Caenorhabditis elegans: one gene and its partners. The protein of the gene in region 1 interacts with the protein of each later gene in a biochemical or structural test. Each region holds a gene or a part of one and is shown in the gene's direction. Other genes may lie near its edges.

Evidence for each region.
Region 2: the proteins of egl-6 (region 1) and flp-6 interact in a test that uses a peptide from one of them, tested with the Caenorhabditis elegans proteins (one large-scale study listed by BioGRID).
Region 3: the proteins of egl-6 (region 1) and flp-9 interact in a test that uses a peptide from one of them, tested with the Caenorhabditis elegans proteins (one large-scale study listed by BioGRID).
Region 4: the proteins of egl-6 (region 1) and flp-8 interact in a test that uses a peptide from one of them, tested with the Caenorhabditis elegans proteins (one large-scale study listed by BioGRID).

What each region holds. Positions count from the first base shown.
Region 1 is NC_003284.9:5,928,885-5,936,711, forward strand, and holds egl-6 (G-protein coupled receptors family 1 profile domain-containing protein), read left to right. Parts: upstream 1-3,701; 5' UTR 3,702-3,883; coding exon 3,884-4,062; intron 4,063-4,114; coding exon 4,115-4,228; intron 4,229-4,275; coding exon 4,276-4,352; intron 4,353-4,403; coding exon 4,404-4,570; intron 4,571-4,621; coding exon 4,622-4,957; intron 4,958-5,059; coding exon 5,060-5,282; intron 5,283-5,391; coding exon 5,392-5,483; 3' UTR 5,484-5,648; downstream 5,649-7,827. Other genes in the region: C46F4.3 (EB domain-containing protein), read left to right, coding at 6,893-6,968, 7,182-7,334, 7,676-7,827.
Region 2 is NC_003283.11:9,467,800-9,475,550, forward strand, and holds flp-6 (QQDSEVEREMM), read left to right. Parts: upstream 1-4,175; 5' UTR 4,176-4,178; coding exon 4,179-4,260; intron 4,261-4,383; coding exon 4,384-4,567; intron 4,568-4,635; coding exon 4,636-4,704; intron 4,705-4,798; coding exon 4,799-4,894; intron 4,895-5,697; coding exon 5,698-5,779; 3' UTR 5,780-5,993; downstream 5,994-7,751. UniProt on the Caenorhabditis elegans protein: FMRFamides and FMRFamide-like peptides are neuropeptides. KSAYMRF-amide has an excitatory effect on dissected pharyngeal myogenic muscle system.
Region 3 is NC_003282.8:12,752,168-12,760,779, reverse strand, and holds flp-9 (KPSFVRF-amide 2), read left to right. Parts: upstream 1-3,209; 5' UTR 3,210-3,277; coding exon 3,278-3,340; intron 3,341-4,809; coding exon 4,810-4,917; intron 4,918-5,828; coding exon 5,829-5,966; 3' UTR 5,967-6,222; downstream 6,223-8,612. UniProt on the Caenorhabditis elegans protein: FMRFamides and FMRFamide-like peptides are neuropeptides. KPSFVRF-amide: Has no effect on somatic body wall muscle, inhibits contraction of vaginal vera muscle, and inhibits the activity of the dissected pharyngeal myogenic muscle system.
Region 4 is NC_003284.9:14,877,777-14,884,211, forward strand, and holds flp-8 (FMRF-Like Peptide), read left to right. Parts: upstream 1-3,642; 5' UTR 3,643-3,761; coding exon 3,762-3,884; intron 3,885-3,953; coding exon 3,954-4,087; intron 4,088-4,140; coding exon 4,141-4,291; downstream 4,292-6,435. Other genes in the region: sssh-1 (UPAR/Ly6 domain-containing protein qvr), read left to right, coding at 560-644, 698-781, 840-943.

The sequences.
Region 1 (7,827 bases):
TTTTGTGATTTTATTGAGAAAGAACTCATCTCTATTGTCTAGACTTTTGAGCACGGTATCGAGTAATAATGCAAAACTTCTGAATCATTCTGATTTTGTTCTGTTTTACAAGAATGTTTTAGAAGACAAGAATCACATCCCCGGGTTTGACACAATCCCTAAAGTATCCCGAAATATGTAGTCGGCTCCTGAAAACAATAACAATTTAGTAGACGTATATTAGATAGAATCCATCAGACATCGTACCCACATCATGGGTACACAAATTTTATTGTTTTGGTTTTCAAAAGAAAATATAAATACTTAAATCAAAGGTCTTTGCGTCGCTTTGTAAATTTCTAATTTGGAAAGAGTTTCAGTTCCGTGTGAGACCGAAAGGTTTCAAGTTAGAGCTACTACTTTCTATTCCCATTCCATTAATTCCTCTCCTACTCAATTCTCACGCATTTTAATTGATGTTCACACTTTCATTAAATTTTGTTTTAAAAAATTCGATCAAGTACATTTTTCTTTCCGAATTTCGATTCTAATGATGTTCTGACTTTTCAACTGGCAACTGAAAGAAACACAACTCCGCAGTAATCCATCGGACACATTTGTCTTTGTTTATGATTGCTTTTCACTCCCATCTTGTCATTTCAATGCTATATTAATTGTTTTGAAAGACAGTAGCAGAAAACAACAAATTGCAATTTCAAACGTTTTAAAAATCAATTTTTCGCTGTAAAGTTTTTTTTTTTTTCATTTTTATTTTCTGCGAAAATAATAGTTTTCTATTGGATTACTCAGTGAAAATATCTGATTTCTGGAACCTCTTAAAGCTGGCAACATAGAAAGCTGAAATAAAGAAGAATAGATATCCAATCGTATTCTATGCTATTATTGTATTATTTTATGCGTCACCATCGAAGAATTATTTTTTTCCCAAAGTTAACTTTTTCGCTGATTCTTTTTTATTTGTTACTGAAACCGTTTTTAAGACTTCAGACTTTATTTTGTGATTTTTTTGAAACAGTCGTTAATATCTATCTAGCGTTAAGGCTTCTCTTTTGTTTGTGGGTTTTTGTTCTGCCTAAATGTTTGATTAAAAAGACTTGAAACGGTCAAATTAAATAATGAAACTTCTAAAAAAGATTTTCAAAAATTTTAAAAGCAGGTTAACTTTTCGGAAAAAAATCAGCTGAATTGAGCTACCACTTTAATTTTTGCCATCTTTTCAGTTTCACAAATTAGTTTTCGTTCAACTATCACACTTTTTTGCATTATTTGACAGGTTTTTTTTGAGGTTAATGTCGTTTTCTTGTCGTTTTGCTCACAACAATTTTTGCGAAACTTACAAAAAGTGTTTGATTGAATAATTAGGTATTTGTTTGTTACATTATCATTAACTGTTTTGAAATTTTACTTTGAAAGTTTCAGCTCCTGTTGATAAAAATGGTTATATCCAACTCAAAAATTCAACTCAAAAAGTCTTGCAATTTATTCCTCCACAAAAATGGAAAATTTTATACTATGACGATTGAAAAATACTTTTAAATTCATAGACTCTCAACTGACCGCTGGATTTTTCGTTTGAAAATATTGAAGATGTAAGATTTCCATTGATGATCAAAAATTCAGAGTGCAAAAGAGCAAAGTAGCGGAGATTTAAAACGTCGCCTCGAGTTCGAAATGTGATTTGAAACAAACACTAAAATGTTCATCCCTCGTCCATTGTTTTCCTTGATATATTATTCTACTTGTCACTTACAAATAGACAGATCAGTGTCCGGGTTTGTCTTTTGTCTTGAAAATAGCATGAAAGAAAACATTAATTTAATTATTCAGTCAACCTTCCTTCATTTTGTAGGAGAATGACGGTGTACCGGATTCGAAAATTATTTATCTCAAGCTGCGTTCGTGTCTTTTTCAATTTTCTTTTTTTCTTTCTGCAACAATAAATTTGTCAGAATGTACTGCGAAAACCTTATATGACGGTAGACCGTGCCAGGGGAATATAAGTTCCCGAGACTAGACATTAATCATTTCTACGTACTGTTCTTGAATTTTGAACTCATTTAAGGTATGGAACTTTCTATACTCCAGAAATCTTTATATAATGCTCATGATTTAATAATTTATATAACGTCAAAAGGTTTTTCCTGATCTTTTTTCTGTTGCCTTCACCTCCGTTTCCTCACGTTTTCTTGTTCTTCTCCCTGCATAACTTTGAAAACAACACAGGTCTTTTGTTGCAGATGGAGAACATCATAGAACACAATGACAGCTTTTCAGCAATGAATGACACACTGATCTGTACATACTTCGAATGCTATATCCACATGTTTGCCATGGTGAGTTCAAAGCATTAAAATCTCGGGAGGTGGTTTTGATGACGCGTTGGAAATTTGGAAAAATTGCAAATTTGTGATAGAAGCCATAGGATCATTGTTTCAATTTTGATATTTGCCAAAGAACAGTTTAGGAAAAATTAATTGTTATCACTAATCGGAGAGCAAAATGTCTCAAGATATGAGATTAGATGTGTTGAAGCAACATTCTATTTTGAATATTCAAGAACATTGAACGTTTTTAAAGCACTTATAAACACTATTAATAGTAAAGTAACATCAGTGAAGAGGGGGGGGGGTTTGAATTTACAATCATGATAGTCTGACATGAACAAATATCATTGTGAAACACTCCAAACATTCTTAGATTTTTCAAAATATTCAGTAAAAGTTGTGGTGAATTACCAAGTTATCAAAAAGCATGGACGTTTTTTTTAAGCAACCTCAAAAGTTTGAACCCTTGAAATTTCAAATTGTATAATAGGACAAAAGTCACTGTCTAGACAAATTTACATCGAAAATATAATTTTCACTTGGTTTAAACACTTATGTGAAACTATCAAAGTTGGAGTATCATCAGTGGGAATATTATTTAATCACATTCATAATAGTCAAATATAATCGTGCAACACTTCAAAAATGCTCCGATTTTTCAAAAAATTTCAATCAAAGTTTTGGTAAATTGTCAAGTTTTCTAAAAGTTTGGACTGTTTGAGAAATTTCAAGCAACTCCGAATGTAAATTTTGGAAAATTTTGTCAAATTGGACTCGAAAAGTTTGCTATTATGATTTATTGTAGGGTACTCATGGGTTTTGTTACCCTCAAAATGTTTTAATTTTCTAAGTTACAATTAACCACAAAAACGTGAACTTTTTTGGAACGATTTGGAGAAACGAATGCTTTGTTCCGTACTTTTGTTTTTGTTTTTAATTTGAAAGGTGGAAAATTTAATTTTAGAAAATTAAAACATTTTGGGGGAACAAAACCTATCAGGACCTAATGTAGCGGCATATGAACAGTTTCAAACATTTTCCCCATTTTCGGAGTAGTGTCCCATTCCTCAAATGACCTAAATAATTCTGCAATTCTGCACGTGTACTTTGGGTGTTAGTTGCGTACGAGACTCTATTGGGAGCCGATCGTAAACCCGTTTTACGGCCTCACACTGCGAGTTAGTCTTTCAGAGACTCATCTATGTGTTTCTGACTGGGCACCAGTGAATCAGTATGGTGTCATTTGGGGGGACACGCGATGCACACAACTTGAAAAATAATTAGCTGATAGACAGGGGCACGCGCTACACAGTGGGCGGAACTTCCAACACTGATTTCACTAGATTTCCCCTTTCCCTCCCACTCCGTTTTGACTGGAACGAATATTTATTTTGTCGTCCAATTTTTCCTGCTATCTCGTTGTTAGAGATTGTCGCTGGGATAATCCGGTTGTGAATGGACGTTTGAAGCTTTTCCAGCATTTTGAACCGGAATCTTTTTTGCTTTCCCATATTTGCTTCCCTATTCGGGCTCGTTCCGAAACGTGAAAGAGTGAAAAAATGGGGAAATGGACGGAACTCGGATTGTCGGGTCGTGAAAATGCAACAAATGTCTCGTCGCGAGCCATAACTGACAAGTCCTTTTTGCAGTACTACGATGAAATTCATATTCCTCTTTCAATTTCTATCTGTATATTCGGAGCCGCTTCAAACGTCTTCAATATTATTGTGCTCACAAGGTAAGTTATATATTTCTTTATTTTTTACGGATGAATGTACCTGTTATTCCAGAAAACGGATGCGAACCCCAATAAACATCCTGCTCACAGGTCTCTCCATTGCACAATGGCTCCTAGCGACCAATTACTTCCTTTACTTATTGCTTGAGTATTATAGATATCAATGGTACGTCATGCATCAAATAAAAAAAACAATGTTCCAGTTTTTTGCAGTGTTCAATTATTATGGTCCGAAGCATTTACAAGATATAGATTCTTCAATGTCAACCTGAATACAGTATTTCATACAAGTAAGTATTTTTAGATTGGCAAGCATATTACTGTACTCAAATACTTTTCAGTTGCATTCACAACGACGATCGTTGTCGCAGTGTTTCGGTATTGTGCACTGAAGTTTCCAATTCAAGCGAATAGATTCATCTATAAATGCCAGCCAGCAATCGCAGCAAACGTTATCATTTGGATCATCATTCCTATCATCAGTCTTCCATTGTTTTTCATATCCGAGGTTTGTGTAGTTAATCTTCATATCTCGAATCTGATTTCATCTATGTTTCAGGTTAAAATTGTCGCTCGTGACCACGTTGCTTATGATTTGCAATGCGAAATGGAAGGTCCATTGTACGACCTCAGTTATCAAGAGAGTCCACTTCTCGTGTCCGCAGTTTTCTGGGCATTTGGTATTGTGTTCAAACTACTTCCGTCGTTAATTCTCTCAATACTACTCATTGCTCTTATAAGATCTTTGAAAAGCGTAGAACGAAGGCGTAAAAACTGGAAGCGTACACAAGGTGCCAACATTTGCACCAACTCCGAGAGAAAAGCAAAAAGAAAGTTGACGACCAGACCGCGCACAACACGAATGCTCGTCATCATTCTACTCCTATGTGTAATGGTTAGTCACTATTTAATGTCTGATCGTATGTGATTGCTGTATTGTTACGATTATTTATATTATTTTGTCTATGATTACCATGAAACGTATGTCTGATTCCAGGTAGAACTACCCATGGGTATTCTTAACTTGTGCGTGGCTATCTACGGTGAAGAGTTCGGAAATCGGTATTACGATCCAGTGGGAAATCTGATGGAAATGCTGACGCTGTTGTACAGCTCTGTTAGCTTCGTTCTCTATTGCACCATGTCCAATGAGTATCTCTCCACGTTCCGAGCACTATTCTTCCCATGGACCAGAAAGAATAGTTTAAGAGGAACTCGAAGTGAGTACTTTCAAACAAAATTGTAGGATGAATCATCTACTTGAGATAACTACATTTTACTCACAATTTTTTCTGACTAAAAAGTTCAATTCAAAATACAATTTTTCAGGAAGTTGGAATCATCGACATGACGACGAAACAAAGTCCCCACGAACTTTTCTGATAAATAGAACTGCGCCAAGCTCATATGTCGGGTCTTAATCTCCTTTGCGTAGTTATTCAATTCAACTATAATTCTTGATTTTTGTATTTATCCCGTTGTGAACTTCAATTCGTCTGAAAAATTTGAAAGTCACAAGTTTGAAAATGTGATTCTTGTTTATCTTGAAATCTTCCGAGAATGAATAAAACTTGTATTGTTTTACTAATATAGTGTGTTTTCTCTATTTGAACAGCTTTTAAAAGTTGGAAAACTGAAGTTTCAAAGTTAAAAATCAAAGTTATGAAAAAATAAGTGTTCAATGATTTTGTCTAATTGACTTTTTTTAAAGCAATTTTCTTTAGAATTTAAAAGTTTTCTAAAACCTTAAATATAATTTTTCAGCATACTTGTTAATTTTTTTAAATTCTAAATAGAAAAAATAGCATATTTATCTGCTACACTAACAAATTGAATCGCTTCTTAATCTATCAAAACAATAAAAATTGCAGTATTTTGAAGCGTTTGGTTTTTTTTTGTTGCAAAAAGTCTCAAGTGTTCATATCTTGACAGACAGTCTTAGCGGAATTTTTAAACGGAAAGAATAATATTTTCTGAACACCTTCAAAAGTATTCTCCTGTCAGTGAAGTTAATACGTAGACGTATAGCGATAAGAAGTTTTTGGGGTCACTTACGTAGACAATGAGTTACTACATCCCGGAATGCTTTTTTATGGGGTTATTCAAGTAGTGTCGAAAAATTAAAAAGGATAGAGAAATGACGTGACAACTGTATTAAAATTTTTCTCTGCTTCTAAACTTTCCGACACTACTTGAATAACCCAATTAATTGAAAAAATAATGGTAAATATTTTTCAGCCACTGAATTGATACGAGTTACAGTAACTCGTTATCCACATAACCAATGAAAAAAAGAATGTAATATGAACTTTTTCATACAATTCTTTGAGTTTAGCAAAAAGTGCACAGTAAAATTTCGAACGACAACTAGGATTTCAGATGGGGGTTTCAGATGTAAATTCCCCCGTAAAAAAATTTGACTCACATCAGTGTGGCTGGGTCTGAAGATAATTTGCACTGTTTTCTAGTTAGAGTAAACATGAAACAAATACTAATGAAACCAAAAAAAAAATACAATTCTTGCGGCTACTTCTTTTTTGAAGCCTGAAACTTCCCTGACTTTTTTGTGGAAAAAATATTCTAGAACGTTCTACAACAAAAATATAACAATCTATAAAGCCAACTGATTGAACTTTTGTTTTTTGTTTCATTGTCAAAACTTCAGGGCTCATCCTAATTTGGGCTGATTAAACTGACAAGAAAAAAGAAAAAAGAGCAAATGGAAAAACAAACACGAATGACAGTTGACTGGGGGAGGCAAAGAAACGAATTGCAAACATTCGGGTATCTTCACACATTCCGATTTGTTCCATTGTTTTATCTTTTTTAGATGATGCTTCCAACTTATCAATTCCTAATCTTACTTTCCGTTTCTGCAAAACAAGTGTATGGCGTTGAAGGTAAACGTAAGTTTTGAATGATTTCTGAATTTATAAATGTGGTCGAGAACACATATGTTTTGCTCTCGGTTATGATATCTGGTGAACATGGTCTCCGAAGAGTCTATACAAGTACTCATATACAAACCAAAAAAACAAGAAAACTTAACGTTTTCCGGTAAATGCTTTTTTTTCGTTCCAACAATTTCCAAAGTTTTATTTTTTATATTATGTTTTCAGTTGGAATTCCTGGAACTGAGTGCCTGTTCGGAGGAATATGCTCGGGTGGATCTATTTGCATTGATATTTTGTGTTTATGCGTGGATGGGGAAAGAGAATTTGACGGACAATGTGTGGATCAATCAGTTTATGATTCAAAAGTTAAAGAATCTGGTATGAGCTTACTAGTTTGGAAAAATGATTAATCTGAAGAAAGAGTAGTGCATGTGAAAGTGTTATTGAAATACTAAGAATAAGATACTTATATTCCTATGCAAACAATTACAATAAAGAAACAACAGGAAATTCTGGTTAAATTTGAAAAAAGCAGCTGAAAATTAGAGAAATGGAGTTTGAATTAAAGTCTTTAATACTGTATGTTTTGTTATTAACCCTAGCTTCCTCTGTGTACTTCAAAACTTTAAGTTTTATATATTTCATTTTCTATATTAAATAAACGAATAATTAAAATTTGGCACCTGTAGTCCCTCTAAAACTGAGCAGTGTCTTTTCAGAATCCCTGCACGATGACAAGCCTGAAAATCTGCCAGCAATTGGTTTAGCAGGTCATCCGTGCGGTCAAGGAGGAGTCTGCAGACCGTCGACAAAGTGCATTGAAGGCACCTGTAAATGTAGACAGGGTTATAATCCGTCTTTCGGGGAGTGT
Region 2 (7,751 bases), on another chromosome or scaffold:
CGTCAAAGAAGCTGTTAGCTTGCGAAGAGTTGAGAACCACAAACGATTAGCTTTGGTTACGGTAACTTTATCGGTTTGCGTTCGCAAGTAATCCGTGCACTTTGGAGTTTGACTTCGAAATAGGAATACGTATACTAGTCAGAATTCCGTTTCTTTCGGGAAACCACCATTAAAGTTTTATAGGTCAAAAGAAGTGGGAGGAGGAAATCCTAGAATTATGAAAAAGAGAGCAAAAAGAAGATGTTCGTGAAGTGACGTGAAGTTTAAGAAAAGAAGATTGGACGATGAATGGGCAAAAAAACGGAAAGAAATGTTCCTTCTGAATATGGAACTTTGCAGGAATATTTTTTTAAAAATCACAATTAAAAACAAGTATTTCCAGCTAACATTTTCATTCGTGGAAAAAACAATAACGGTGATGGAATCAATACGTTTAAAATGGAACAACAATCTTTTTAATACTGTATTTTGCCAATTTCTCTTGCGTACCAATTTCTCTGATTTAACAGCGACTGAAAATGTTCAATTATTAGAAGTGCATAAATAGATAAAGCATATAACTGGACAATTTTCAATATCACCGGTGTTAAAATTTGGGGTGCAATACTAATAAGAAAAAAAAGGTACCTGAAGTATTTTCAGTAACAATTGCGAATTCTTTCCCAAACTTTGTCTTAACATCATGCATGCTTAATTCAACTAGGTATGAATATTTCAATGCACATTTGCATACAATTCGGCAGGTGAACTCATGAGAAAGTTCATTTTGTATGTGAAGGTCATGTTGAGTAGACACAAGTGTTGAATTCAATTCAGTCTTACCTTTTTGATCAATATTTTTGAGGTTTTAATTCCAATTTAAAAAAATCAATCAAAACCCCTCACTGTGAATAGCTAATTTACCATTCACATTTCACTTTGCGTCTTCAAATAGCCAGACTCCCACCAAACTAAACGATTCTGTGCACGATCTGCACAATTTTAAATCCTTCCGTTCTTCTGTTCATTCTCTTGTAGACTTCTGTTGTATGCCTTCAGGTCTTTGATTTCTTTCTCACGATGTCTGAATGATCTAGTCACAATTGGCTTCTTCGTCAGAAGTTCCTCTATTGGTGGCTCACATGGGCCACAAAGTGCCCGTTGAAACACATTTTTGCATTTTCGATTATCCCGTACCTTTTCCTTCCTCTTTATATGTTCTGTAACTTTTTGGTTTCACTACTTTTCGAAGACTAAGGTGTTCGATCGTTTCTCACATTTATTTAACCATATATGGAAGATGACTCGAACCAACAAAAGAAATCAACGCCCTCTCAGTGAAGATTTTATCTTTCAATTTTTATTCAAAAAATATTTAATCAGAATATCTATTCATATCACTTTCATGTTGATTATTGAAACCTTACAATTGGATAGGAAATGTCACACGACATATGATATTCCAGTTGTAGAAAATCAAAGTTATGTGAAAAAACAAGCACGTTTTTTGAATGAAGACGCTTGACTTCTGATGACATATCAAGAATTAAAGATTTTCCAAAATGCAACCCATGTTTGATTCAAGGATATGTTGTTGTTTCCAGAAACACAACATAATGCAAATTCACTCAATACTTTCTTTCTAAAGTAAATCTTTGATTAACTTTCAGAATTGTAAGAAAAACCAAACAATTTCAGAATTAATCCAGAAGCAGGAAACTGCATAAAAAAACAACAAAAAAAAATAATCCTTCTGACAAATGTTGACAAAAATTATCGTAAATTTACAATTTTCTAAAAATCTTCTAGATTTCTTTTCCCTATGACGGTCGCATTAAAGTACTGAAATAACATAATAAAACTTTAATAATAAATTTCTTATTAGAAAATTACGATTTTTTCATTTTGACACTTCACAGCTAACTGAAATTTTTAGCACTTAATTGTCTATGTTTTTCCAACTTCAAAGATCAATTTAACCTTCGAAAAACACCTGATCACCTGAAACTCAATGTTTCAATTTCATTGTTCAATTATTAATGATGTAGTACAAATTTAACAAACACAAAATTTTCCCATCTTCACGTCACTTCTGCTTACATAACCTAAAATTTCAGGACGCTTTTATTTTTGAAAGATCCGGAAAGTGAAATACTAGTTCTGGGATTTTGCAAGTCCTGCAAAATGAAAAAAAATCTATGGCTTCATCTTGGTTTTGAAAAATTCCAAAAAAAAGTGATTCCATGAATCAGATCAGGAAGTACTGTTCTTTTATTTTTTAAAATAACATATATAAATCTTCTTTTTATTTTATTTTCTTAAAAAGTTAATCCAAAAAAAAAGAATTGTTTTTCTCCAGGGAACGGCAGTAAATCAAATGACGCAGTGGATGGATCAGTGTTGGGATGTTCCTGGAATTGTCCACCCTATAACCAAAACAAAAAGCTGATTGGAATATTGCTTGAAAAATCTGAAACTAAGATGATTTTCTGAAAAACCGAAGAAGTTTAGAAGATCATATATTTCCCGAATAACGCTATAATATTTATTGAACTAACTTTAAAATATTCTTTAGGAAAGTATAAATCGCGAGATATAAAATTCTTAAATCCTAGTTCAATTGTGATAATGTCTAAAAAATGACTAATAAGAAAATATGAGAATTGTTCTATATGCGTCATTGACATTTTCAAAAGAAGCCTTATTAGAGCAGACGGATTAGATGAGTACTCATAATTTAAAAAAACGATAACTGAAAATCATACGATCTATCAAAGTTTCCTAAATGTTAACCAAAGAGTATCGAAAATTGGCAACAAGATTCAGCACGAAAACTTCCTGATTTTCTCCGAACTTCTGATTTCATCTCACATTAGCTGGAATTTAAAGCTGACCGAAAAAATAGTTTAACTTAAATGAATATTGCGCAAGTAAATGTTTATTTATTTTAAAGTGAGACAGCTTCTAATTATTTTGTTTGTTTTCGGTCGATGCACCATGTTTTGCATTGGGTTCAGTGGATGTATTGATGTGGAATAAAAGTTAATCTACTGTCAGATTGTTGACTGGGTTTTTTTAAAATACCATAAGATCCTACACTTAACGAAACAGTGACAGGGCACAGTTTTGAAATGTGTGGTGCATATGTGAATTGATGATTTTAGTGACCCAATTGCCTTTAATGTTAATATTGGTTCAAGTGAACGTTTGTTCTCGTTCAAGGTGTCTCATAAACATGCTTAGAAAATCTCAAAAATGATTTTCCCACAAAGTCCATAAAAATTAATTAATTTGTTCTTTGACTCATTTTCACTGCACATTTGGTTCCTTCTCTCACGTTCTCTTACTTTTTTGTATTTTTTGAAATCTGAAAATTGGAGTATGAGCTGCGATACAAGTCACTTTGAATCTCGAAATGAATCCATCAAATTTCCTTGTTTGATGTCATCAATCTTATTTGCTCTTCTTCAATGTTTCGGTGAAAAGTCAGAAATATTGCAATTCTCAATATTCTCTATGGTAACTCCGTGTTTTTGTTTTGTCTGGCTTTTGACTCAGGTTAGGATCCACCTATAAAACTAACTTTTTTACCAGTTAAACATGACGTCAATCTTCCTTTCTCATCCCCAAATTCGGATTAGCCCCCACCAAAACCAGCAAAAAGACGGTGAAGGGCGGGAAAGAGCCGTTGGAGAAAGGAATACCTTCAACAGCTTGACTCCGCCCACTTCTTCGTCCGCTTCTCCTCCCCTCAAAAAAGCGAGTCGGGGGTCTCATTCGGAGGCTCTTTTCTAAGCCAATATCATCTTCTTTTTGCTCTTTTGTAGTAGTACTAATAGATAATAATATTAATCTTTTTATTTTCAACCAACTTTTCACCTGGTACTCCCCCTCATCCAAATTCAGACATGTTCCACGCCCCACGTTACCAGATGATATTTATGAAAAGTTGAAAATGTACTTCATACAACCTGACCTTCGCAGACGTATAGCTGAATCTCTATGTTTTTCTGTTCAACGTTTTTTATTTAGTTATTACTCATTTTTGTTTTATATGAAAAACAAGGTATAATAGGTATAATATTTGCTTCCTGCTTTAAGGATTCTTATCTCATAAAATCCTGAAATCCATTCCTGCCTTCTTATCTTGTTTTCAGTTTTTAATCATTATTTTGAAAACAATATGATTATTCCAGAATATGAACTCTCGTGGGTTGATTTTGACGCTTGGCGTGGTGATCGCTGTAGCATTCGCACAACAGGACAGTGAAGTGGAGAGAGGTAATTTTTTCAACAAAAAAATATACTACCGAGGACACGATGCACCATGTCATTTGTAGTGTTCATGAAACTTTCATTTTCTACGTATCTCTCGGGCCACCTGTTCAAAAATATGTTTTGCAGAAATGATGAAGCGTAAATCAGCGTATATGCGTTTCGGACGTTCTGACGGTGGAAACCCAATGGAAATGGAAAAACGGAAGAGTGCCTACATGCGTTTTGGAAAGAGAAGTAGCGGAGGTGATGAGCAAGAGCTTGTTGGAGGAGATGACATTGATATGGAAAAGAGAAAGTCCGCCTACATGAGGTTGGTTTTTCACCTCAATTGACCTCCCAGTGTCTGAGACCAAGTCATTAAATTATTTTATTTTGAAGATTTGGAAAGCGATCTGGACCTCAAGAAGATGATATGCCAATGGAAAAGAGAAAAAGTGCCTACATGAGGTATGTGAATGAGTTTCAGATGAGACACAAAATGAATGAATTATTATTCAAAATGAATGAATATTTATTCAAAAAAAACATAGAAATGTTTCAGATTTGGAAAGCGATCATCAGATATGGAAGTTATTGGAAATGAAGGAGTTGATGGAGATGCACATGATCTTTTTAAAAGAAAATCCGCATACATGAGGTGAGAGAAGTGAAAAGAAACGAAAAAAGTTATTCTAGGGTAAACATGGCTGAACCCATTCATTTCTAAGTTGACACAAAAACACGAGGATATCTTACGCACAACTAGAATGCTCTTGTAAGGACCAACTGGAACTTTATTCCTTTGAAATATCTGAAAATACTAATCGAGGAACTTTTATTTCTTGATTTTGAAACGATCAACTCTTTCTTAACATTTTTTGGCAAATAGTTCTTTAGAGATATGTTTCTAGTTTAATGTCAGTTATCTTTTCTTAAAGCTAATATCTTCAGTACCATATTCTTTGAGTAACGTGTTTGTTGTTCTTTTGTGAAAGTACTGAAAAACGTGTGTTCAAACGATTTAATCATAGCTTCATTCGCGAAAATCGCCGAAATATAATTTTGAACATTGTGACGTCATACAATTTTTACTGAGAGACTATTTCAGAAAAAAGACACTTGACGTCAGACCATTCTGAACAATTTCCCGTAATTTTTGTAAGTAAAAAGAGACATTCGTTTTTCACTTATTGAACACCATGGCAATGGGATTTCCGCTGATTTGTGATATTTTCCCTTTGATTGAAAACCAAATGGCGCGCGCATTTTCGCGCAATGGTCCCGCCACGCGCATCCCATTGATTTGTTGAGCGCATGGCGAGACCAATGACGGGACCATTTTGTATAAATGCGCGCGCCTTTAAAGTCGTAGAAGTGGAAAAAAAATGCACTGTAATTTCTGCATCACTCTATTTTACGAATAGTGAGCTATTCAGAGATTAAGAACTTATTTATTTTCAGATTCGGAAAACGTTCCATGGGTGAGGAGGAGGACCACGATATGATGAAGAGAAAATCAGCATACATGAGATTCGGACGATAAATTTTGGACAAACTTGGATCTATCATTTATACAGGCTCACACATTTAACTTATTTTAAAATCAAATACCTTTTAAAAACTCTCAACTCTCCCGATGATAAAACTGACAGTTTCTTTCTTTTACATTATCTTCATGTAAACCTACACTTTTAATCCCTACTTTTTACAATTCTCCCATCCTCTTCGTTTCCTTCGATTGATAAAGTTTTGCACCGTGTTTTTCACACAGAATCACCTCTTTTATCTGTATCTTATCCGCTCCTTTATTGAATACGAAAAACACACGAAATGAACAGAAAAACGAATAAGAGAAAAACCAGCCTCCTACAGACGCCTGATTGATGTCGTACCGAGATCACGCTTGTTACTTCTATATATCTCTTTCAAAAAAAAAAAGATGATGACGAAAGAAAAGGTGTCACCGTCTGCGTAATCTGACGTTCATTGGATTATAATAATAATCTGATAAAAACACAACTCGAAAGTGTTTATTTTTGATAAAGTTTATCCGGCAATTCGGAAATGCCGAGTTTTAAAATTTTCTGCAATCGGCGTTTTTGGCAATCACCAAGTGGTGTATGCCGCCCATGTATATGGTTTTTAGTACAGGCACAAACTACTGCCTACCTAGGGAATATCTTCCACCCGCAATCTAAATTTTTTTTTGAAACGGTAGCTAAGATCATTGGCTAACATAATCTATCTTTCGTTTTGCTGGCGAGTTACACACATCTGCAATTTTTCGTCTGTAAATTTAGTACTATATAAGTTCAAGAGGTAGGCAGGCACGAATGAAATTCAATGATGGCAGACATGAGAAACAGCGTAAGCCATGAAAGTTTTTTGACATTCAGTTGGATTGGACACACTGAAAATTGTGTGCAGTAGTTAAAATTCGAATTCTGTACTTTGTTGGAAGCCTTCATTATTGACAAGCATCTAGAATTTTTTAAAGCTCTAAGACGAGTAGGACTTAATTTTAAAAATATAAAACGAGAATCTTCGTCCCCTGCTGTTCTTTGTTATCTAATTCCTAAATGTTGTGACTTTTTAATAAGATACAATATAACATTGGGTGTCTGCCATTAATGTATCTTTTGAGATAACATGCCATTTGCAGTATATCCAATATCCTTGAGAAAAACGGTGTTTGAACACACTGTTTTTGCAGAGTTATCACAGACTTTGCTTATCACTTAAAACCCCAATAAACACCGTTCTCGATATCCGCTGTGGTACGTCATAACCTAGACAGGAACTGAAGTCTAGAAGATTTGAAATATAAGGTTATTAGATCAAATAGAACTGGAGGATTTCTTATTGCTTTCCAACTGAAAAATTTGAAAGGCTGAATTTTATTGTCAAATTAAAATAAAAGTAATACTGATTATCGACCAAATATGATCTTGTTCTTTGAACTCTAAAAAAAATTAAGGTACAATGCAAATGGCTAAATCAAGTTCTGAAATTGACGGCAATTGGTTGTAAACGTGGAAGTAGAAAATATTTTTTAAATATCTTTCACACTGTGTTTGAAATTAATTTTAGTATGGTAATTTCAAAATAACTGACCTGATTACTTTATCACAAAGCGTGACCATTTTGATTCCTGATTCCTAAAAGTTGAGGCACCGTAAAGCAGAGCCATAAAACAGTTGCAACTATTTGGAAATCTTACAACTTCCTTCTTTGTAAATTTGAAATTTGTATTCGAATCCCTTTTAATTCTACGTATTTTATTGAAAAGACACATACACAACTGTCTACATCTCGTGTCTGTTTCCAAGTGTGTGCCCTCTGTGACAAAGTGCGCAAAAAGTGCACTCTAAAGGGGTCTTGGAAACCCGAACCAACCTGACAATCTGTAAATGAGAACTAGTTATTTCAGTCATTGCAAAGACATTTTTTGGAGACATGTAGAGATCATGGTACTGATTGTACTATGAGAAAGTTCTGGAACAAAAACGTTTTGG
Region 3 (8,612 bases), on another chromosome or scaffold:
AATATTATCTCCTCCCTCACTCACCTCAACTAAGAATATTATATTTCTGAAAAAAAAAATGTTGAGGTCACCAAAAATCAGTCAAAAAAAAAGTAAGGAAGGGAGGTCTCATCAAAAACATTATGGAGAATGAAGGGGCTTGAAAAATGAGAAAAATCGGGGGAAAATGATGAACCAAACGAGGAAGAAATGATGAAAATGATTGATGATTCTCGATTCTTCTATTTTTTGCGATTTATTTGGAAACTGTCGTCATTTCTTACTTTCTATACGTTTTTGGGGTGCCAGGAATTGCAGAGAAGGTTTTTGAGAAAAATCTGTAGCTTCCATAAAAACAATAGCTCAGATTCCCTAGCTCACACATTATTAAGCTTATTCTTTTGAAATAAGAAGTCTTTAAGTATATTTTAAGAATTTACCAATTTCCAGTTACTTTAACTTCTACGTTTACTGGGAGCTATTCAACTGTAGCAACTGAGTGAATAACCAATCAGCGATCCCAGTTATCTGTGATTGGTCCACAGCAGAGTGCTCCCAGCAATCAGCGACATGGACCACGCCCCTTGTAAATCTTTGATTGGTCTGTTGCAGAGAGTGCTGACCAATCCTAGCATGTCTGTAATAGTTTGGTGATCGTTATATTTACCCGGAATTTCAAAACTTTCAAGCTTTGCAAATTCTTAAAAAATGGAACACGCCTTTAACTCTTTTCCCCCTATTCATAAAGATTTCTCCGGTGCGGAATAACAATATCTCTCTTCCGGACGGACACGCACATCACTTTTATATTTGGAAGGAAAAAATGTTCCGTGTTTCCAAAATTAGTACCAACCGCTCTCTACTCGAAAACGGAGTATAGAAGAGGAGTTCAAAATGAAAAATTGAAGACACTTTGTCATTGGCTTTATGGGTTTGTTACTGAAGAGTAGGGGCAGCTGGAGGAGGAGGAGAACAAGAAACATCATTTTCTCGTATTTTCGACAAGGACATGCAACATTGTTCTTTCTTGCAAAAATGGGAATATTTTTTGATTTGCAAACCTCCTAATCGGCATGTTAACGGCTGAAGCGTTTTGAGGGTGTCTCTCACTCGCCCTTTTAACGGTAATCTTGTGTGTCATGTATTGTCACATATTTTAAACCATCAGTATATTTTGTGTTTTTATTATTTAATTGAATTTTTTTAAAGGTAATTTCCGGCCTAGAGTGAGGCGAGGCTGGTAAAAAACTAAAATGAAATTTCAATTCTGATTTCACGGCTGAACTTTTATCGGATCTTTTTCTGAAATTTTATAACAAAATCCCAACATCGAAAAACTTTATGTTTTTAAAAAATTGTTGAAGCTTTATCTATCCGTCTCCCGCGAAAAAAATTCCTAAGAAGTCCCGCCGCTTATTGGCTTAGCCAAATTTTTTCGTTTTTTTTTTCGATTCATATTTTAGGGCTCCCGCTGGAAATTTTTCGGAATACACTATTTTTTTGTGGTCAAAATTTGAGAACATCTGTTACTCTTTAATAAATTCTAGTTCACATAAAAAATTTGAATTGTATTCCAATCATCGTGCACTTCATTTCAATCACCCACCAGAACTCCCACCTGAATTCAATGAATACTCAGAACGAGTAGAACTTCATATTCAAATTGAATAAACTTTCAGGTTTCTTTTTTGAATACCCAAATAAAGAGATTCAAAGAGGGAGGTGTAACGGGAAGATATTTTTGGTTTTGAATCTGAATAGCTATTATTTTCAAAAAATGATCAAAATAACTTTATTTTGTTAAGGCTGATAATAGAGAAAATATTGGTATTTGGCATTGGGCACATTTTTTTATATCTAAAACTAAAAAGTTAACTTTTTTGTTACGAAATTAGATTTTTTAACATTAGGAACAATAAAGTTTGTCGGTTTTCTTTCAAGTGGACCCGCCTGCCTGTCTTTTAGTCGACATATAGGCTTGCTCTTGCCTTTGCAATTTTGTCAGTTTTCAAGAAATACTGTAAGATTTTATATTTTGAATACCTTCTTAGAATCCCAGGTTTCCTAAAATATCGTATGCGATTTAGATTAGTTTCTGAAATCACAAAAAAAAATCTCTTTACGAGTTCCTAGAGCAGTATTACCAAATATTTCTATTTCAGTGAGTATATACCTATTTACGTGGGCTTTAATGACTTTCAATTATATATTTCTGATTTGTTTTATTAGAATGGGGAAAACGAGAACTCATTGAAACAAAACACATGAAAATTGATCTTGTCAAAAATATTGCAGAAATTTGAGCAAATTGGCAAGATGTGTGGGTGATCTGCTCAAAAAATGTCCTTCTGAGAGAGAAAAAACTAAATTAAAAAGTCATCATAGGCAATTTCATTTTGTCGAGAAATACCATAAATTTTTGGCTACATTTAAAGATTTTTTTAGAAGAATTATATTTTTCTCGCGTTTTTTACCCATTTGCATGTGAATTTTAGAATGAGTTTTTTGCTATTTTTTCGAATTCTCGGCACATGGAAAAATTTGCGTTAATCAATTTTTCTTTATTTCGGTTTCGAGTTTTTTCTCCTGTTTTCCATAAAAATTATAATTTCACTGTACATTTTCCAAATATCTTTCCGATTTTTCCATTTATCAAATCATGAAAAATTTTCCGCGACATATTTAGCACCTAAAAAATATAAGACGGTTAGGCGCGAGGCGGCCAGTTAAAAAGGACTTGAAAGACGGCTTTGTGACGACCAATCTTTAAAATGTTTTCAATAACAAAACCCATAAAGGTGTATTGTCCAAAAAGATTATGACTATTTAGAGGATTATTTAAATCTGATTTTTAAAATAATTGAAGAATTATGTTATTTTTTGGATTTTTAAAAAGTTTTTTTTATACCGGTAAATTCCATTTTTCTTTCCTATTCCTCCTACAATTTGAACTACGATTTTTTCAAAATCTCAATATAAAGTAGATCCTAAATACTTCCTACAGTACCACCATATTTCCCTGAATACTTCCTGATTTTCAAATAAATCTACATAGTAAAGTGCCCCCAACCTACCGAACCCATCATTATCACTTCGAGTCTTCAAAGTGCTCACACGTCATTCTTAAATGTGTGTGTATGTGTGTGCTCAGACTCCGCCCATACGTGTGCTCTCCATTCTCTCTCAGGACTCCGCCCCCATCAAGGCTCACTTCTTTTTCTGGTCTCGTTTCCAGAGAAAAACCCAGCAGCATCGTCTGAAGAAGGGTGAAACATTTTTTGTTTCAAAGAAGAAAAAAATGAATCAATTTTATGCACTATTCCTTGTCGCCTGTATTGCAGCAATGGCAAATGCCTATGAGGTGAGTTAAGATCGGAAAAATATAAATAATCTAAGATCATATTTCTTTCCGCTTCTAAAATTTGTGTGCTGAATTTCTTGAAGCGGAAGGTTCAACTTTTTCGAAAAACGAACAAAATATTATTTGTGCCCCTCCCCCCTGTGCCACCAGGCTCGAAATGAAGCCAATCGTGTGCAAAATAATAGAAAAGGCGCCACCTATAAAATGTGTTTTCGTAAATAAATTTCAAAGTGACTTTCAAGTGTATCTTTGAATTTTTAACAGTAGGCGAATCCTGCCTATTTTTCAAATGTAGGCGTGCCTGCATGTCTGTTAATTACCTAAATTTTGGAAGGTGCTTGTGTAATATACCTGCCCCCGTGGAAATGGTTTGCATTTTTAGGCTTACATTGAAAAAACAGTATTTCTAACATAGAAAGTCTAATAAGTAAGCCTAATTTGGACCAACATGGTCATTAAAATTTTAAAAATGGCTAACATTTTTGGGGCAAAAGACATACCTCAATTTAAGCTGAATTCTGTGAATTTTATTTTTTTAATAGCCCGAATAGAATATTTGTTTTCAAACACAAGATTAGTTTATTTCTCTTCAAAGAAACGTTGAGTCTGGAACGAAATAGCTGAAAAAAAAACGAAATTCGAAATTCTAGGGCTTCGTCTCGTCATCCACTTTCCTAATAATTTGTCGCGATGATTAATTTTTGGAAGCCCATTTTTACCATTTTTAAAAGTTATTACCCCTATCGCAGAATTTAGGTGTGATGAGCATGGTCCGACAGCTACCGGGTTTCGCGCCAAATTATAAAGCATGCGTGTTTTAAGAGGTTAAAAATAGTGCGGCGCGGAACCGGGCAGTTGTCGGCCGAACTTAGAAATTTGAGATTTGTTCAGAAAATGCCACCAGGCTATCCGAATTTTTTCGAAGTTTTTTGACCTACGTGGATATCCGCGCCTTTACATTAACCAACTTAAAGTTTACATATTCTATAACTTCCTTATAGTTTCAACACCTATTTTCATCCAGTAGCAACATCCGTTTTATGTAATACTTTGAAAATGTTAAAGTGAGCCACTAATGAGCACAAGGATTACATTCTTCGTCGTCACCCTTCTCCTTTTATTTTGCTGCTTTCGATGCTTCAGAGTGATGCTCTTGTGCTCAGTCTACCGTTCAAAATCAAATTTTAAGATTCTTCTATCTCTTTTTCGTACAAAAAGTTGATTAAAGTGATGATGACATCATTCAAAGTCACGAGAAGTTTAAAATTGATTGAATAAACAAAACAAAAATCCGTAAGAAAACCTAGACATACCCTATTGGGAGATCGCAGGGCTCACGGGTTGCTCCTGCTACTGCTCGACGACAAAAATCTCATTAGTTTTTATTGGTGCGGCGGGTGTAGATTTGCGGCGTTGATTATACGTGGGAATATGTTAAATTACATACATACTTGAGCTCTATTTTTCAGGAGCCAGATTTGGATGCACTCGCCGAGTTCTGTGGAAAGGAATCGAATCGAAAGTACTGTGATCAAATTGCACAACTCGCCACTCAGCACGCAATCGGTATTAATCAGGTGAGAATGATGACGTCATACTGGGACCTTGAGATATTGGCGGCCACGGTCGCATTGACATTAATATATTCTATATTCTTGAAATAATTTTTTGAAAATTAAAGACAAACTCAAATGTAATGTCCTATTCTAAAACTATGGCCAATTCCATTTTACTTACAAAAAATTCAAATTAGCGCTCAATAAATGCGCCGACCAATCAGCGACCTTGGTCACGCCTTTTGCACGTCGCTGATTGGTCGGCGTTTCGTTTTTTTTAAATTTTAGCGGGATATATTGAAGTTTCAATAATGAAATTTATCTTCTAAAAAACACATTTTGAGGAAAATTTTCGACTGAATAACTTTTTGCACATTTTCGGAATTGGGGAGAAAAACATCTAAGAATAAAATAAGAAAAGGAGCTCCTCAAAAATTGATAAATTCCAAAAATACACGCTTCTCTGAAATGTTAAATTGTGACTAGAAGCACTGAATAATTATAAAGTTCATGTTATAGAATTAGAAAAATTATGATTTAATTTAATAAGAATATGGTAACGGCCTCAACGCGACAGAAAATGTTTTAATGGAGGCTACGAAAAGTGTATGCGCCTTTAAAACATTATTTTTTACACACTATTTTCGAGAGCCTTACTTTACATTTTTTAACGTTTCTAGATCAGAAATGCCGTTGAAAATGTTATATATTATTTGCTTTTTCAGTTAAAGGAAGTTTTAAAATTATAATTTTTGAAAAATCGTAAGAAAAACTAAAAATGGTCATCTCGTGACTTTCAAAAATAAATAAAAACGTCTCGTCTAAAAATTGCGGAATTCCCCACAACTGATAATGAGAAAATATTAATTCTGCCACCAAACCTATAACTTCTTGTATTTATCTAAACAATTCAAGAATTTTCTAATTTGCAGGAGCAAGTCCGAATGGAAAAGCGGAAGCCGTCGTTCGTCCGTTTCGGAAAACGTTCAGGATACCCGCTGGTAATTGATGACGAGGAAATGCGTATGGACAAGAGAAAGCCATCATTTGTTCGATTTGGAAGAAAGTAGATAGATATGTCTTGTTGATTATTCTGGAAACATCTTGGATCTATTTTTGATCTCTCTCTCTCTCTCACACACAGCTGCTCACTACGTTTTCTTCTCGATTGTTCCCATCTAGATTTCTGGCCCTCATACCGTTCATTCATTCTTCTCTCCCATCCCCTTACCCCTCTTCAACTTTTATGGTAACCTGAGAATTTGTGAAAATCAAAAAAAAATCAAGTTTTCATGTTGATATGTGCAATAAAATGTGTTACATGTGTGTGCGTTGGTGCCATTTGAATCAGGAAATTTTTATCATTTTTTTATTTCAAAAGGAATTGCTATTATAAAGGATTATCTCAACAAAACATAAAGATTGAGTTGTTTGCTTTTCACTGAAAAAAACTGAAAATTTGAGAAAAAAAAATCGAAAAATCTGAACTCCCGCGCAGAACAGAAAGCGTCGACCAATCAGCGACAGAGACAACGCCCCTTACGCATCGCTCATTGGTAAGCGAAATAGAGTTTGAGCCTTTAAATGTAAGGTGTACAGTAGTTTCCATTTATACATTTTTGTCTGGAAACCTAATTAAAGCATGGTGAACTAGAAAATTGCATTGCGAAATGTCTAAAAAAAAGTTTTTTTACTGCAAAAGAAATTACTGTACTCCTTAAAGGCACACACTTTTTTTTCCAAATTTTTGTGTCTATCGTTGCATTGGGTTCTCAGTTTTGTGCTCAAATAAAAATAGATTCAATCTTTCAGTGATGCCTGTAATTATTTGAACATTTTAGGAAAAATTGTATTTCTAGATAATTATTATTTTTTGAATATCCCCTTTCGTGTTTCATACCTAACAATATTCCTTCGCGCGGGAATTTAATGATCAGCAAACTTTAAAGTTTTACACACTTTAAGGATGACTTCTTTCTGAATACTTGGGAAAAACAATACTTGATACATGTGTGGGTGTTTTGGTGTCATTTAAACCAGAACATCTTTATCTCAAGTATCGTTAAAAATCTAAATTAGCTTTTTTGAAAAAGATTACTATAAGATGGATTATTTGAACAAAACATAAAGCTTAGAAAGAGCAAAAGTCGTTCAAAAAAGGATAAAAGCACATATTCCGTCATTACCCGATTCCTTTTCTTGAATAATTCACGATATGAAAACGAGAATGAAAATATGAAACACACACACACACATACCTTCCGAATTTATTTTTTATAAATTCTCTCATTTTTTGTGGATTTTGTTATGTGTCTGGGACCGATTGTGGGTTTAGGAGTTTAGTGTTAAACAAAATTTCAGCAGTCATTTAACGACAATAGCAATAGAATTTTGGCGGTCACATTGTATAGATTTCACCTAGTGACAGTTTTTCCTATGTTTGATATTTTTTCCCGAGCCGTTTCTCTCTATTTCACACCTGAATATCTAATTATTCACGAAGACAGAATATGTTTAAAACCGCGGTGTAATCGAACTCGGAAGTTTTGCGACCAATATACATGTAAAGGGTTTAATTTTTTTAAATGATTTCTGGAATTGTTTTAGATCAGTGATTTTTCCTAGAAGCTACGCCAGAGGATTTGTGTTTGCAATTTCGGGAAAATAATACGTCCAACTATTCAACTTTTTCGGGGAAAAATATAGGTATTATAAGAAGTATTTGAGTCACGAACAATGGAGAGATTGAGGTGTTCATGGGCCAACGTCTAGCCAAAAACCTGAAACGATTAAAAAACACAAATATTTTTTATTACGAATCACTATTATTTCAGATTAATTCGCAGAAGTATCAGGTTTGAAATAGTATATTGAGACCCTAAGTAAAGAAATATACTGGAGGCGTTTTCCGGGCGATGGGGAGTGGTGAAAGACTTTTCTTCAATTTTTGTAGCTCCGAGAAGTGAAAAATTGTCTTTTTCATGTTTTATCACCGGGTAGCAAGGCGAGCCGTTTTCCACATTTGTTGACAAATTACAGAAATATCGATTTAAAAAAATGCCATTTAACAACTCCAATGATCAGAAAACATTCAGATTTTTAAAATTTTCTGAAACTCAAATAATAAATTATTCAAAAATCCATGATTTCTGATGACCTAAACCCTATTTTCAAGTGATCTGTTTACGTACACAAATATGTTCCACTAACTGATCTTTCCAAGTCTCTTCTAATATTTTTGTCCAAAAAGTAGTCCGTTGGTGACTGAAAAGTCATGTTTTTCAGAGCAACCCTTAATCTTGAGAAAGTGTACACCAAAAAGTGCTCGCGGGCAATGCGTAAGTGGTGGGATTAAAAACAAATGACGAGAGGAGTCATCAACTACTTTTTGAGTTATTAAATTGGGTTTTGAGTAATGAAAAAAGATGGAAAAGTGGGGGTGTACTAGTAGAATGTAGTAGTAGTAGGATAAGAATTTTAAATTTTTAGAAAAATTCGAAGAAAATTTCAAAGCACAAATATTCAATTCCAACATATAAATAACGTGTACTCTATCATTGAGGAAGTCGCTTTCGTGATCATAACTCAAAATTCAGCTTGGAAAATTTTTGAGAGCGTATTTTGAAAAAAGGGCAACAGAAAATAGTACGTATTCGGTACTCGGATTGGAATTGATGTTATTTTCCAATTTTCCAAAGATTCGAAGATCTCACTAC
Region 4 (6,435 bases), 8.9 Mb from region 1:
AGGCTAGGGCTGCTTAGGTCTGCCTAGGGTAGGCTAGGTCTGCCTAGGGTGGGCTAGGTTTGCCTAGGGTAGGCTAGGGCTGCTTAGGGTTGCCTAGGGTAGCCCTCCGCCTCCCGCATCTCTCTAGGGTCTGGGGTAGGGCTGTCTAGGGTAGGCTGGGGTCTGGGTAAGGGCTGTCTAGAGTAGGCTGGGGTCTGGGTAAGGGCTGTCTAGGGTAGGCTAGGGTCTGGGGTAGGGCTGTCTAGGCTATGGGATAGGGCTGTCTAGGGTCGGCTGGGGTAGTGCCTTCTAGGGTAGGCTAGGGTCTGGGGTAGGGTTGTCTAGGCTCTGGGCAGGACTGTCTAGGGTAGGCTAGTTTTATTGTTTAATTGCTTTCAGTACGTTTTTTTGTTTCTGTTATCAAGTGAATTGTTTTTACTTACTTGATAACCCACAAAATTAGTGAAAATCTTGCTGAATGAACAAAAAAATCTGAAATTGATAAAGTTAGCCGCATTAGCCGAATTTCAGCCGACCGGCTAACTCGGCTAATATTTCTCTAAAATGAGCAGTTTTCCAGGTTGATCAAGCTCTTCGTGATGGAGTTCGCAGCAATGAGTGCTCAAATGGAGTCTGCATGAAAATGATTTTCCAGGAAAAAAGCGGTGAGATAGATCAAAATTAATTGTTTATTTTATTTTCTTTTTACTTATTTTAGGAATCAATCATGTTTGGAGAAGTTGCATACCAAATGCAAAAGAACAAATCCGATCAGACTGTACAAAAATTACTAGTGGAGAAGGTATGTAATATTCAAATTGTTCCATATAATAAAAAAAAAATATATATATAACTTTCAGGAAACCTTGAAGTTTGCACATGCGATGGTAATTTATGCAACAATGACGTCAATTTAAATCTAATACTAATAATTATGTTTTCTGCAGCTGTGTTATTATTATGATGAGTTGTTCATTAAACCTACATATCGGAATCAAATCAAACTTAGATCTCTATTCTTTTCATTTTCCATCGGTTTTATATAGAACTTTTGCCGAAGTATTTTGATTGCATACCAAATAAATGTTTTTACGTTGTTGGAAATGTTTATTAAAATTTAAAGGAACACAGAATAGCCAAAGTGTTTTTAATTTCCAAATTTTTTTTTACTCCTCGAACAGTACCCTTGAACTTCAGCTCGCTATTTTGAATATTCCTGTCACGAAGTCGGTGAATACAAAGATTCACTCGCTCACGACTTATTAATAAATCTAAGGATTTATTAACAAATGATTAAATGTAAAGATTGATTCATTGTTATTACGTAACACTTGCTCTTCAACACTCAACATCATCTCTTCAATCAACGGCAACAACCATGCAGAAGGACGGCGTCAGAAACCCCGATTCAAACTACCGCCAAAAGGACGATTCAAGGCGCATGAGGTCTCGCCACGACACATACAACAACGACTGCGACCGTACTCTTGTCATCATGGCGCAGCGCACATTGGCCTATATCGTCAGTCTTCATCGGTCTTCACCACCGCAGCACGTGCCCGACGGTGGCACGTTTAAATGAATGTTGAGTGTTAGTGATTCAAGGTTTTCCCCTTGAATCACTCGTAATAAATGAGTTAATTAAATAAGAGTCTTTTGTTAGTTCCTATCAGTACCTCATGGGCCGGAAACCACTCCGAAACAATTCCCATAATTTTATTGTTTTCCATTTTCCAGGAAAAAAAACAGTTCTTTGACATTTTCAAGCCAAAAACTATGTGTGTTCCGTCTTAAGACCATGCATTGGAAATTACGTTCGTCACTATTTTTGTGTGTATGTGTTTTGGATTCCTCTTCTCACATTTGCGGTCACAACAGTATCGTTCATCGGTTTTTATGTTGTGATAAAATAGAGAAAAAGTAAAACGAGCATATTTTTGATAGCGGAAGAAAAATTTTGAGATTACATATAACAAAGCGGAAAGTGATTATCAAATGTCAAATTATCAAATAATTTGGAAGCTTTTCAATTCAATATACAGGGTTGATTTTCAATAGGTGGTGCAAGTAAAAAAGAAATACTGTATTTATATTTAAAGATAAATACATTTTGTTTAAACACGTAAATATTGTTTCAAGCTGGCCGCATATCAAAATAAAACCGTACAAAAACTTTCCAGTTTTTCTTAATTTTCAGTCAAGGTTTTAGTAAAATAGCGAGGCGACGAAAATATATAACTTTCCGAGAAGTTCAGAGCAGTTAATAATTATTATCAACTTTTTACAGAATGGTTTACATTTTTTCAACATTAATTATAGTTAAAGGACAATACATTTTTCAAAATATTCACTGTAAATATGAATGAATACTTTTGGAAAATAATCAAAAAGCTGACTGACTACTGTTAAACAATGGCGGAGTGATAAACTAGCAAATTCACTTATTATGCACATAATTATAATGCAGGATAAGATGACTGACTTTCAAGACATTCACTATTTAATGATTAGACTTCCATTTTTGACCATCCCATTTTGACATAAGAACTCCTTGATATTTTGTTCTCTTTGAAAAGTCTTGTTTTACTCTACTTTAAATGAATTCATTTTCGTCATGGACGATCTCTTCAAAAAGTATGTGGGCACCTTTACTTTGAATACACGCAATCTTCACCGTAGTTTCATGTTGCTCGAATGAATATTCAATGATTGGAGGGCAAGATTTATGAAGAGATTGCCGTGAAATCATTTTGCGAGGCGAATCATCGAGGAAGCAACTGATTCGTGATGAATAATTTGCGCGGTGGATAAGTTTTTGGTTTCAAAGTACCCCCCCCCCCCCCCCCCGAGAAGAGGTGGAAAAAAGTTGAAGAATTAGATGAAGGAGAAGTCCAAGTGTTACGTCAACAATTTACAAATGCATAGAGTTGGTATAATTAGTTTCGGAGGGTGTCGGTGGCTAAATTTATCTGTTAGTTACCTCCCAGCATGAATTCCGTGTATTCACTGTGTTCAGTCCCTCGACTGCTCGGTTATACAGCTGATAGATAGACGAGGAAGAAGAAAACACACAAAAACGTAAAGTGGGCCTCTTTAAAAAAATTTAAAAAACAAAATAAGGACACAAAAATATAAATATGCATTGTTTTCATTTTTCAAAACGAGGGTAGCTTCGAGAAATTTCCATTTTCAAATCAAACGAATTGCTACAACAATGTCAAAATGTTAAAATTTTTCTTGGTGGTACTGTATGACTCTAAAGTTTGATCTGGAAAAATTTGTTTTTTCGTAGATAACGTTTCTTACCTAAAAAGCGGTTTTTAACCTGATAGTTGAGATAACCTGGTTTATACAATAAATTTTCAAATGAGATAATTTTTAATAACTTTAAAAAAAAATTTTTTTATATCGTTGGTTTTCGAAACTTGATTTTCAGCAAATTTTTAAAATTTGAATCAACTTGCTCTCAAAGACACGTTTATTGTCTTACGACTTTTAAAACCGGAGTAAATTTAATTTTTCGATGAATCAATTTCAGATAAATCTCAGAACAAGCACTTTACTGTTTCTTACTTGTTTTATGCAATTTACCATTTCAAGTTTTCTATGCCCCCGCGTTCTTTTACCAAACGCCTTCCAGTGGACACTCTAGAATTTCTTCAGCACAAGAAGGCGTGGCCTCTGAAAAGGCGGAGCAAAGTGCGCGGAGCCCAAGTTAGTGGAGAAGACGGACCAGTATATAAGCCACGAGCAGTGCTCAGTCCACACTTTTCAAGTAGAAAATGCTCTCCGGAGTCCTTTTTTCTATTTTTGTACTCGCCATATCGGCCAACGCTAGCTGTGATGTGTCCGCACTGACCACCGAGAATGAGAAGGAACTCGGACTCCGGATTTGCCATCTTGAGGTATGTTGATCATTTTTTTTAGTTTCCAAAGTGGTTTTTTATTCCTGTAAAATCTAAAATGTTTTGCAGGCGGAGATGCAAGTCGTCCAAAGAGCCTTGCAGGAGGTGATGCAGCAGACAGATGTCACACTGTACGATCAAGAAGTTCCGGTGATGAACAAGCGTAAAAACGAGTTTATCCGATTTGGAAAACGCAGTGACGGGTTAGTACATATTTGGTATTTGTCGGTCATTTCAAATATCATTTCTTTCTCAGAATGGAAAAACGAAAGAACGAGTTCATCCGGTTTGGAAAGAGAAAAAATGAGTTCATCCGATTCGGAAGATCCGATAAGGGACTTGGACTCGACGACAACGACGTTTCCAGTGAGTTTTTCGGTTACACCTCTGATGTATTTTATCTGTAAGTGGTTTTGCAGTGGAGAAACGAAAGAACGAATTCATTCGATTCGGGTGATTCGCGTTCAGAGATGGATGTGTGCTTCTTGATGATTTGGGCCAAATTGTGTTCTATACTGATAATGTTTTGTTAGATTTCTTATTCTCCATGCTAATTTTTTTTCTTTTATCTCTGCAAAACGTCAGTTAGAATAAACTTTCATTGTTTTTCTGGTTTTTTTTTCTTTTTTTTTCCATCTTATCTCAATTTTCACAAGACTTGGATATTCACAGGCTTGATGTATGAATTGCATAATATGTCCCAGCCGAATGACCAAATCCGTTTTTTTTCTTTGTATGACCACTCATCGTATTCAAATTTGCTTACAAGTACGCATGATCCCCCTGCGGGCGCGCGCATCAAACAGACGTAAGACCGGTTTTCGAGGAAAAACTGTGTATATCTTTCTATCCGAAATCCTGTGTCATTGAAATATTTCACAATTTGGATACAATTTTCTCGGCCCAAACATGTTGTATAGTCAGTGAGAAGAAGAAAAGTAAATTTTTTGTTGAAATGAGACAACATATTTCATGTTTCGCTAGGCTACGAGAACGTGGGACACTTGTGATTTTTTTTTGCTTGACAAATGATGGGGCCAAGCGATTTCAAGAAGTCTAAACAAGATAATTTTGGCGTCATAGTTTTTGATAGAAGATTTTTTGAAAATTAGAATCAAGATGGTTCTATTGCAGTACATTCAAAAATAGGAGTGGGCTTCAGCCGAGTTTCACGATTGATAGTTCAAGAATTTTCTCTAAATTAAAACACATAACTATACTTTCAGTTCCCACTAAACTGAAATTCTCAATGCTTCAAAACTGCTTACCGTTTTCTACTAAGTTCTTGATAGCTCAGTCGGTAGTGGTGGTCGCTAGCAATCTGGAGGTCACGAGTTCAAGTCCGGCCTCACTCCCTAGGTTCACCCAGCCTCCATTGGCAAGGTGAGCAATCCATAACTGGATTTTCCGCCACAGTCTCCGGCTAGGACGTGGCTTAAATTATAGCCCAGTAGGAGCACCATCAGGCAGTGTACCTGGCTCCTAGATCCGCAGTGCATCGCACTTGAAGAAGGGATCGTCTTTTAATCCTTTAATCCTTTTTTATACCTTAAAACTTTATTTTTACTATCTGCAAAGTAAGTTCATCTCAGATTTTCTAATTAAAAAACCCCTGCTTCGTTGTCGTAATAATGCGTCATCTCAAAGTTATTGAAATTCCGCCACTTTTCTTCTGGATCTCACTTTCCACGGATAAAAAAGAAAGCCGAAACTTTCTTATTCTCATGCCTCGTCACCTCCGAAACTAGTCCGATGACTCAATAATTCGGTGAAGAATGGCTTGCCATAATAAAAAAAAATTGGGCGATATAGTCAACGGCAAAATTTAAATTCAAGGTGTATACTTTAAGCAGAAATACTTGGTCAGTGCAAATTAATTTTCAGTTCACTAAAAATTAGTCAAGCGGAATCTGGTAAACAATTAGGAAAACAAACACTTGAGGACGGAAGATTATCCCTGAAATACTTTTCTTTTATATTGTTGTAAAAATTCTCAAGACGCTTCGAAGAATTTCGGAAATGTTCGCAACACAGGATAAACGAGATGTTGACCAGCTGTGGTGGAGGTATGGGCTATTGCCATTAGTCGCACTTTAGTCGATGATGATGGCAGACAATTACCGTCCTATTGACAGCTAGTTTCTACTGCCCGCCGCTACCGTCACCACGTAATCTGGCCACGCTATTGCTTCTGCACACGATTTTTCTCTCGGAGGAGGAGGAGGAGGAGGAGGACAACTATTTTTTCGTTACTGCTTTATGTTTTGCGAGTTTTACGATTGATCTAAACTTTTCGATTCTTTTTGTTAAATTTTACGAGAAATATAGAAATGTTTAAGTTTGGAAAAAAGTGATTTGTACGAAATTTCCTTATTAATGTAGGACCATTAAAAATCTTACAATTTGTTTGTAACTTAATAGTTTGGCTTTAACGATAAAGAAATTCAAATTCGTAAATGTGTTACGTAAACTTTCCTAATGTGTCAAAAAGCAAAGAGTTTATGTATATTGAAATCAATAATTTAAAAATGAATTTTATTTATAAACAGCT